Sus scrofa: one gene and its partner. The protein of the gene in region 1 interacts with the protein of each later gene in a pairwise test. Links are inferred from orthologs where the notes say so. Each region holds a gene or a part of one and is shown on either strand. Other genes may lie near its edges.

Region 1 (5,247 bases):
GGTGTAGGTCAGACGTGGCTCAGGTCCTGAGTTGCTGTGGCTGTGGTGTAGGCCTGCAGCTGTAGCTCCAATTCGACCCCTTGCCTGGGAACGTCCATATGCCTCAGGTGTGACCCTAAAAAAGCAAAAAAAAAAAAAAAATGTGAGAGGTTGCAGGGGGGCGGGCTGAACATTTGTTTTGCAGGCTCGTGGTCATTGGGGGCAGGGTTTCTGCTACCTAAGGAGTCGAAGGCCAGTTCTCCCTCTCTTGGAGGAATGTCAAGGGCCTTTGTAGGCGACCTCACCCATCATATGTCTCTGTTCTACCCACCAGCCCTGCAGGAGCGCTATGGGAAAGAGGCTGGGAGGTCCCCAGCTGCAAGTGAGGGGGAGGGGGACCCCCCAGGGGGCCCAGCTTCCCCTGTTCTGCCCCCCATGCCGTTGGCAGAAGTGGAGCTGAAATGGGCGATGGAGAAGGAGGAAAAGAGACTGCTCTGGGAGCAACTGCAAGGCTTGGAGGTGAATCTGGGTCTGTCGGGGCCCAGGGTGCCAGGACACAGGCAGATGCCCTGGCTGTGCCTGAGGTCCCACGGAGATGTCTGAGACATTACCCGTCTCATGGGCTGATGGGTTAGGGAGGCAGGAGGGCAGGGAAAGGCACAGACCTTAACCTCCTCCCTTGCTGACAACGACGCCCTCCGGCATCCTTCCCAGCAGACCTTGAAGCAGGCCGAAACATCCAGGCTGCAGGAAGAACTTGCTAAGGTGGGGCTGCTGCGCTTTCCCTGGACTTTGCCCCGCCCCCAGTCCCCACCTGCCATGCTTCCCCTGGCAGGGCACAAGGGGCAGAGTCCCTCCTGAAAGCCTCAGTTTTGTCATCTGTGAAATGGAGAGGCAGTTATGTCTCAGATCTGCTTTCCCTCCGAGATGGGCTAATGTGGTCCCTTCTATGTCTGGTACATAGCCGACCACATCCCATCCTTTTGTGTCCTCCCAGCTCAGCCTGTTCATGCATCTGTCCATCCATCCAAGCATGTATAGATGGCTGGCTCTTATGTTAAGAATTTAAAGGGAGTTCCCGTTATGTTAAAAATTTGAAGGGAGTTCCCGTCGTGGCTCAGTGGTTAGCGAATCCAACTAGGAACCATGAGGTTGTGGGTTCGATCCCTGCCTTTGCTCAGTGGGTTGAGGATCCGGCATTGCCGTGCGCTGTGGTGTAGGTTGCAGATGCGGCTCGGATCCTGCGTTGCTGTGGCTCTGGTGTAGGACGGTGGCTACACCTCCGACTCGACCCCTGGCCTGGGAACTCGACCCCGCGGGAGCAGCCCTAGAAAAGGCAGAAAAAAAAAAGAATTTGAAGGGGGCACAGTCTTTATGGCATTAGCTTGCTGTGGCCCCCTTTGCCTGGCAAGGCAATAAAGCTATCTTTTTCTCTTTCACTCCCCCCCACAAAAAAAGAATTTGAGGAGTTCCCATTGTGGTTAAGGATCCGAAATAGTCTCTGTGAGGATGCAGGTTCAATCCCTGGCCTTGCTCAGTGGGTTAAGGATCTGGCTTTGCCACAAGCTGAGGTGTAGGTCGAAGATGCGGCGGATCCATTATTGCCGTGGCTGTGGCCTAGGCCAGCAGCTATAGCTCCGATTGGCTCCCCAGCCTGGCAACTTCCATATGCTGCAGGTGTGGCCAAAAAAAAAGAATCTGAGACCCAGTGGTGAGGCAGCCAATCCCGATCCTGCTTTGCAGCCCTCCCAGCTTAGCCATTCTATGATGTGGCCATCCATCGATAGGGTTGGGGGCATAAATGCTTGGGCTTTGGAGCCTGAGGGAGCTGGGTAAAGGTCACATTTTTGCTGCCAACCAGCTATGCAACCAAAGTACCTAACCCTTCTGAGACTCAGTTTCCCCATTTATCAAACTGATAGTGCTCATTTCTCAGGACTATTTTGAGGATTCTACAAGATAAGTCCAGTTTCCTTTTTTTTTTTTTTTTTTTTTTTTGTCCTTTTGCCTTTTCTAGGGCCACCCCGACGGCATATGGAGGTTCCCAGGCTAGGGGTCAAATCAGAGCTGTAGCCGCCAGCCTACGCCAGAGCCACAGCAACGCAGGATCCAAGCTGAGTCTGTGACCTACACCACAGCTCAGAGCAACGATGGATCCTTAACCCACTGAGCAAAGCCAGGGATGGAACCCGCAACCTCATGGTTCCTAGTCGGATTCGTTAACCACTGCGCCACGACGGGAACTTTCAAGTCCAGTTTCCTAAAAGGACTTAGTAGGAAGTGACTGTACACGTGCAGTTTATGTTTTGTCCTTATTAATATTAATCTCACTGTTATCACGTGTTCTCCCCTCCCCCACCCTAGCTCTCCGAGAAACTCAAAAAGAAACAAGAAAGGTAAATTTTTTTTTTTCCCCCAGAGGTTGGGAAAGGGGCTTGTGGGGGGACTCTGGAGGGAGCTGACTTGTGGAACTGACCTGTGAATGCCTGTCTTTCTATGCCCAGTTTTTGCCGCCTGCAGACCGAAAAGGAGACACTATTCAATGATAGCCGGTAACTACCAGGGTTGGAGATATTGGTGGAGAACTGGGCAGTGCCCAGTGGCATTAACCAAAGTTCACAGGGGCAGAGCTGGGAGACTGGGCCTCAGGCCATGATCATTGTGCCCCCCCCCCAACCCTGCCAATCACCCCCAGGAACAAGATTGAGGAGTTACAACAGCGGAAAGAAGCTGATCTCAAAGCCCAGTTGGCCCGAACTCAAAAGCTGCAGCAGGAACTTGAGGCTGCCAATCAGGTGAGAGGCTGGGTTTTGAGATCACTGGGATGGGGACAGGTCTGGGAGTCTGGGGAGCTCTGAGGTCTGGAGAGGCTAGTTGGCAAGTCTGATATTTCCTGTGTTAGAAATATAGGCACTGGATGGGTCCTGGGCCTGCTAGGAGCTAGGGAAATGGGACCTAGAGAACCCCCAGAGCCTGAGGGGTTGGGCTAGGAATCTGCATGAATCAAAAACCTCAGGGGGTGGGGGGAGTTCCTGTTGTGGCTCAGCAGGTTATGAGCCCGACTAGTATCCAGGAGGATGCGGGTTCAATCCCCGGCCTCGCTCAGTGGGCTAAGGATCATCCGATGTTGCTGTGAGCTGTGGTGTAGGTCACAGATGTGACTTGGATCCTATGTTGCTGTGACTGTGGGGCAGGCTGGCAGCTGCAGCCCCAATTTGACCCCTAGCCTGGGAACTTCCATGTGCTGTGGGTGCGGCCCTGAAAGGAAGGAAAAAAATCTCAGGGGGGCTGAGGACTTGGAGGATCTGTGCCACAAGTTTGGCTGAATCTAAAATTCTGGGGGATTAGATGGAGTTCCCGTCGTGGCGCAATGGTTAACGAATCCGACTAGAAACCATGAGGTTGTGGGTTTGGTCCCTGGCCTTGCTCAGTGGGTTAAGGATCCGGCATTGCCGTGAGCGGTGGTGTAGGTTGCAGACGCGGCTCTGATCCAGCGTTGCTGTGGCTCTGGCGTAGGCCGGGGACTACGGATCCGATTAGACCCCTAGCCTGGGGATCTCCATATGCTGCGGGAGCGGCCCTAGAAAAGACAAAAAGACAAAAAAATAATAATTTTAAAATAAAAATAAAATTCTGGGGGATTAGAGACAGGAGTATGGAGAAATCTATGGTCATTGGACTGGGACCAAGAGTTGGAATGAGTCTGAATTCCCCGGATGTTGGGTTACTTTGAGACCTGTGGCAGCCGGGCAGATGTAAGACTTTCAAGGGTAAGACAGGCCTGGAGAGTGGGTCCATTTGAGACCCTCAGAGCTTGGGGGCTGGCTTGGGGCCTGAGATACCTAGGAAGTTGAATCATGCGGCCTGGGTGGTCCTAAGACCCCTGGAGCCTGTGAATAAAAAAGTGGCAAGTCAGAGACATCCAGAGACTGCAGCAAATGTCTAGGTGGGTCTGAGGCTCCCAAGGCTTGGGGGCTGCCTCCTGGCTTCCCCCTAGAGTGAGTGAGTTTGAGGTCCCTTGGATCGGGGGATATGGTGGCTCGTGGGTCTAAGGCCCCCTAGGAGCAGGGGACAGAAGTCTGGGTAAAGCTGAGTTTTCAGTTAGCTGGGTCCGAAGATCTCCAGAGACTGAGGACAGGTGTGGCAGGTGAAATATTGGTCTGAGGCCTCACCAAGGCAGTTGTATTAATATGCAACCTATGGGGTCTGGGGCTGTGCGTGCATGGATCTGAAATTCTTTTTTTTTTTTTTTTTTTTTTTTTTTGTCTTTTGTCTTTTCTGTTTTTTGGGCCGCGCGCATGGCATGTGGAGGTTCCCAGGCTGGGGGTCATCGAATGAAAGCTGTAGCCACCAGCCTACACCACAGCCACAGCAACGCCAGATCGGAGCCGAGTGTGCGACCTACACCACAGTTCACGCCAACGCCGGATCCTTAACCCACTGAGTGAGGCCAGGGGTTGAACCCATGTCCTCATGGATGCTAGTCGGGTTTGTTAACTGCTGAGCCATGATGGCAACTCTGGATCTAAGACTCTTGGGAACTAGGGGTATGGGGGGTTGTGTGTGTCTAAAAATCCTTGGGGGAGTTCCCATTGTGGCTCAGCGGACATGAATCTGACTAGGATCCATGAGGATGCAGATTCAATCCCTGGCCTTGTTCAGTGAGTTAAGGATCTGGTGTTGCCATGAGCTGTGGTATAGGTCGCAGACTCGACTCGGATCTGGCATTGCTGTGACTGTGGTGTAGGCCAGTAGCTACAGCTCCGATTCAACCCCTGGCCTGGGAACCTCCAAATGCTCTGGGTGCGGCCCTAAAAAGACAAAAAATTTTAAAATAAAATTTTAAAAAATCCTTGGAAATTGGGGTCAAAAGTCTGATTGAAGCTGTAGTCCCTGGAGGCTGAGTGTGTCTGAGAATCCTGGGGCCTCTGACCTGGAATCTGGATGAGTGTGAGACCTCTTATGGATGAGGGCTGAGTGAATTTGAAATCCCCAGGAGTCTAGGTGTTTTCTGAGATGCTTAGAACTGGGATATAGGGGTGTCTGAGGCCCCTGGGCGTCATGACCTAGAGCTTGGGTGAGCCTGAGATCTCCGATGGCTGGGTAGTCCAAGACCCTCAAGTGCCGGCAACATGCTGCCGGGTGGTCAAAGAGGGAGTCTGTATGGTTATATGTACCCCAGGGGAGGCTGCAGTCTGGAATGGGCTCCCCCAACCTGGTCCCCACAGAGCTTGGCGGAGCTGAGAGACCAGCGGCAGGGGGAGCGCC
Region 2 (5,247 bases), on another chromosome or scaffold:
GAGAGTACCACCTTGGTCCCAGCCTGACAGCCCCACCCCCTGCCCTCCTAGGACACAATTGTAGATAGAATAGCTCCTCAGGTTCAAATGACTTGGCGTCATTTCTCTTTAAAGTTATATCTGTCCATCTATGGAGGTCTTCAAGGCAAAAACTGGTGTGGGAAGATGGTCCTCAGGATTAAAGGCTCTGATCGGTTGAAAGTAAAATAATGTATCTCTTCCAGGTCTGTGACGCGAAGCTACTATAGAGGTGCAGCAGGGGCGCTCCTGGTCTATGACATTACCAGGTAATGACACCCTCGCCCACCCCACCCCACCCCTGCTGGTGGAAGAGGCCATCTCTCTGCTCTCCCAGGTCCATGCCTCCCTGTGGGCTGCGCCATAAACATCAGCCCCCAGCAGCATGGCCCGCAGGCAGGAAGCCCCTCAGCCCTTTCCACAGGGGTCTTGGAGGTTTTTGAACCAGCCCCTCCACTGCTTTAGCTCGTAAAAAAGTACACAGCTTAGATAGATTAAGCATCCCCATGTTTCACTAAGTTTCTGCATGATGTTCTGGCACTTTGCTTAGGGTTTGCAAAATGAAGCTTTGTCTGTGGTAAATTGTTAGAAGTAATTGGCGTCCGCCAAGCACAGGCTCTCAGCTTGATTGCCTGAGTTCAAATCCCAGTCAGTCACTAGCTATGTGAGTCCTCAGGTGAGGGGCTTTGGTTGTCAGGACTTTAGTTTCCTTGTCTGTTTTAAGGCGTAAGGAGGGCCGTACAGCACTCATGAGCTTTTTGGGCGGTTAGATTGGTTAATAGAAAGCTCTTGGCACATCATAAGGATCTGAGTGCACTGTCCTGTGTGTAGCTATCACCCGGGTATCTCAATTAAGTTTAATTAATTAAATATTCAGTTCCTTGGTCTCACTCTCCCATTTCAAGTGCTCAGAAGTGCTATGTTGAACAGTGCAGGTGGTAGAACTTCCTGTCTTAAAGAAATGCCATCAGATGGTGCTGACCTCAGTGTTTGCCAGCACCACCTATAAACATGTCATCTGAGAGAGTATCACCCTGCTGCTGTGACACACACCCAACCTAGGTCCAGAACAAGGGGCTCTGGCAAAGAGGTGGGCAGCTCCTTGCCAGGCTCTCTGCATCTGCCTGGATGGCAAAGGTTCAGTTTGCTAAAGTGAAGCCACCAGGCACAAAGTGGGCCAGGGGAGGAAATCTGTCCTTAGATATGTGAGGGCTGCAGACAGTTCTGCAGGTGATGGACCTGGTCAGGTCCTGGCTTGACCAATGGCTGCTCGTGTCTCTGGGCTCAGGTTTCTTCTGGAGGAGGAAGATAATAAGAGTCAATGTCATGGAGTCTTCACAGAGAGTCAGTGTGATAAACCCTGTGAAACAAAGCAAAGTATGTTGCAGGGTCCTTGCATGGCAGCAGTTAGCTTAGGTCTTGATCACCCTGTTGTGCATAAAAGCTCAACTACTGTAAAATGAACAAGGGAACTTCTGTTTCCTTTTGCACCCTGATTGGGAAGACCACAAACAGCAAGCTCTCTGACTTGCTGCTCATTTTCCTGGAAACAAAATGAAACACACCCTGTGGCCATGGTGTCTGTGGCTATAGCGTGCACTGGGGCATTCAGGTTACCTCAGTTACCTGTAAGGTTGGTGGTGTTGCCCTTCATGTGTAGAAGTGGTGTGAGTGGTGTGAATGACTGGAAAGAGTTGCTAGCTTTATAAAATACATGTGCTATTTTCACAATCTTATATTACGCAGCCGAGAAACCTACAATGCGCTTACTAATTGGTTAACAGATGCCAGAATGCTAGCGAGTCAGAACATTGTGATCATCCTCTGTGGGAACAAGAAGGACCTGGACGCTGATCGTGAAGTCACTTTCTTAGAAGCCTCCAGATTTGCTCAAGAAAACGGCAAGTGACCTTTTACACATCTATTGGAGTTTTAAGATTGAACCATATTTAGGAAATGCGAAACTTCCTTATAAACCTAAACCTATTTGGCATATTTTTGTCGTGTTACATTCTGCCTACAAAGTTACTGTAATGCTAAAAGTACATTTCGTAGTATTCTGTGATGACATTTCAGTCGAGGATTTTTGAGTATTATAGCTCTTGGTTTAAATGAAATTTGTAACAATAATTTCTAAAACCCCTAATCAGATGATGTCATCTTTTTTTTTAAATGTAACTTGAAGCTAAGTTGGTTACTAAATAGAGAGAGAAGCAATAGAAGAAATACTGGACTTAATTGGCTTTATTTTACTTACAGTAAATTTAAGTCATTTGGCTGTAGATGCTTTTGAAACTTCTCTAAATTTCCATATAGAATACCTGAGGATAACACATAAAATGAATGGTTGCTTAGAGACAGCAGAATGATAAGGAATCAGATGTTTTTAAATAACTTTAATTTTTAGAACTAAAATATCCTGATATCAATTTTCATATGGACTCTAGGACTGCCAAATTATACTGTTGCAAATTAACAAGTTTTCTGCTGAGAAAATAAACATGCACTGAAAACATAAGCCGTGTTGAGTTTATAAAGAAGCTGTTAAGAAGTATGCAAGCTTAGAATGTTAGAGCTTCAAAGGAATTTATTTGTTATTTAAATAAACCTCATTTTTGCAAGCAAGGAAGCCAGTGTCCGGAGAGGTTAGGGTTTGCTCAGGAGAGCGACTTTTCTGCTGGGTGAGATACCAGCTGGTGGATAAGAAGAGCACTCCTTGGAGTTCCCTGGTGGCTCAGCAAGTTAAAGGCCCAGTCTTGTCAGTGCTGTGGTGTGAGTTCCATCCCTGGCCCTGGAACTTCCACATGTCATGGGTGTGGAGGGGGTGGGGGAAGAAGAGCCCACCTTCATACAGGATCCCTTCACTGTCAGGATGGCATACTGCCCGCCCTGTAATCCCCCCCAGGATTGCAGGTTGCGTTTGTGGTCACATAAAGGCTATTGGAAAGGAAATGGCTCCTTTGTCTTATATCAACAGCTGGGCAGTATCAGCCAGCCCACTTCCTTAACCAGCCTCTAGCTAGCTTAGTTTATTTGATTTAAATGCTAGAACAAAATACTAGTTACTTTTCATCAAAAGTTAGAACTCTTCTAATATTTAAAAAAAGTATCTTGACACATATTAATTTTATATTTGCAGAAATACATGGTTTTAAGTAATAAATTACATTTTGCCTGCCATTCTAAGAGAATATTAAACAGGCAGTTATTAATTGAATAATTGCAATTGTCTTCTAAACATGGCTTCGTGTTTTGTTTGATGTCAATTTTAGAGCTGATGTTTTTGGAAACAAGTGCACTAACAGGGGAGAACGTAGAAGAGGCCTTTGTACAGTGTGCAAGAAAAATACTTAACAAAATTGAATCAGGTAAAAAAGGCTTTCCGTTAATAAACTTTTCTTTAGCATATTTTACTCTTTGCCTCAACAGTATCACTTTTCAGTATTTCCAGGAGTGATTTGGTCAAGGGTATTTATTCTCTCTACACCTGCCGACCTTCAGCTGCCACTTGTGGGTTCAAAGGTCTTGTGCACCACCCCTCTTGCCCAGTGGTTTTTTTTGCCCCACTGATGAAAGAGACAAGGGTCAGGGTGTCAGCTGGTGTTTGCTTTTTCGAACCACAGCCTTTTTTGACCCATCATTTAAGGAAGAATGGACCTTTGTCCATCCCTATCAACAGCTTGCTCACTCTGCTGGGCCCGTGGTTTGGGTATCGTGAAGAGTTTATTTCTGAAGCTAACTGAGCAGGTCTCAGTAATCACCTGTCTCATTACTGTTCTATTTGTTGCTTCAGTAAAAATAAATTTTAAATAACCTTAATGTAAGCAGCTGACAAAATAACATGCAGTTAATCATTTATTGAAGTTAATTTTTATTTAAATGTCACCAAAGTTATATGTGGACTTCAGTTTTTCATTGAGTCATTCAACTACCTGTGCCTATTCTTTGTCAGGAGCTGAGACACCAAAGTAAATTAATCACAACCCTTGCCCTCAAGAAACTGTCATGGGAAACAGTCAAAAAATAATTATAATGCAGTGTGGTCGATACAGTACTTGAGACAAGCATGGGATCTGGGCCACAACAAGAAGGGAAACCCACCTATTCAGGAAGTGCTATCAGGAAAGGCTTCCAGGAGGAGTTGGTGACTGAGCTCAGGCTTTTCAGATGTGAGGAGGAAGAGTGAGCAAGGGAGTGAGAAGGAGGGTAGGCTGGCAGAGGGACAGCATGAGTTGAGAATGGGGGGAAGCTAGAGTTACTGGAACAGAAGGACTTCAGCAGGGAATGGCAGGAGACGATGCAGAGGAGAAGCAGCATCCAGGCCAGTCATTGTGGTCTAAGATCTGGAACTTTACCTTGTTACTAAGTCTTCACTGGCTGTGCACCAGAGTCACCTGGGATGCAGGCAGATTTGGATTCCAGGCCCTGCTTCTGGAGATGTGGAAATAAGGCCTAGGCATCCACTCTTTCATGTGATTAATTCTGATATTCATCTGAGATTGAGAACCACTGCTGTGGGGGTGAGAAGCCCTTTGGGGTGGTGAGCAGTGAGTGATATGGTCAGGTTGTGACTGGGGACAGATCACATGTGTAGGTAGCCTTGTCAAGGATAGACTGGAGGGATCACAGGGCTGAAGGCCAGGATGCCAGTTAAAGCATTTTTGAGTGATCCCAAAAAGGTGACTGATTAAAGCTATAAACAGGGATGTGGAAGCAGAGATGAAGAGATACAGATGAATCTAAGAACTATTTGGCGGTGGCACCAGGATTCAGATGCTAAATATCAGTGGTGACAACTCTGAAGAAGTGTGATCATCCAGAGAGCAGTGGGAAGAGCAGTGACCCGGAGCAAAACCCTGGAGACCCTAAAGGATAGAGAGGAGGGGAGATGTTAGAGATGTGTGAAGAGAGCCAGATGTGTCACTCCAGCCCCAATTCCACCAAAGGATCATTCATTATCAGATACAGTAGAGGAAGTCTTATAAGCTGAGACCTAAGCTTAAAAATATCCCAGGGGCTGGGCAGTAGGAAATCTTTGGTCATCTTTACCAGCAGAATGACAAAGGCAGAAGACAGGATACAAAGAGGAAGCAGAGACTGGATGCCTCCCTGGAGGAGGCGGCGGAACGCTAATTTAATAGGAGAGGTGTCAGGAACAAAAGAGATTTAACACCTTTAAATGCTGAGAGAGAAGAGAGTAAGGTAGAAGAGAGAAGGAAGGAGGGGAGC

What was found.
Region 2: the proteins of GRIPAP1 (region 1) and RAB4A interact in binary tests that used the Homo sapiens proteins (3 or more experiments, as listed by UniProt). The link is inferred for Sus scrofa from reciprocal best matches to the Homo sapiens genes GRIPAP1 and RAB4A.

What each region holds. Positions count from the first base shown.
Region 1 is NC_010461.5:43,055,709-43,060,955, reverse strand, and holds part of GRIPAP1 (GRIP1-associated protein 1), read left to right. Parts: intron 1-313; coding exon 314-498; intron 499-696; coding exon 697-744; intron 745-2,343; coding exon 2,344-2,375; intron 2,376-2,483; coding exon 2,484-2,531; intron 2,532-2,674; coding exon 2,675-2,774; intron 2,775-5,207; coding exon 5,208-5,247. UniProt on the Homo sapiens protein: Regulates the endosomal recycling back to the neuronal plasma membrane, possibly by connecting early and late recycling endosomal domains and promoting segregation of recycling endosomes from early endosomal membranes.
Region 2 is NC_010456.5:60,489,541-60,494,787, reverse strand, and holds part of RAB4A (ras-related protein Rab-4A), read left to right. Parts: intron 1-224; coding exon 225-287; intron 288-1,764; coding exon 1,765-1,919; intron 1,920-3,290; coding exon 3,291-3,386; intron 3,387-5,247. UniProt on the Homo sapiens protein: The small GTPases Rab are key regulators of intracellular membrane trafficking, from the formation of transport vesicles to their fusion with membranes.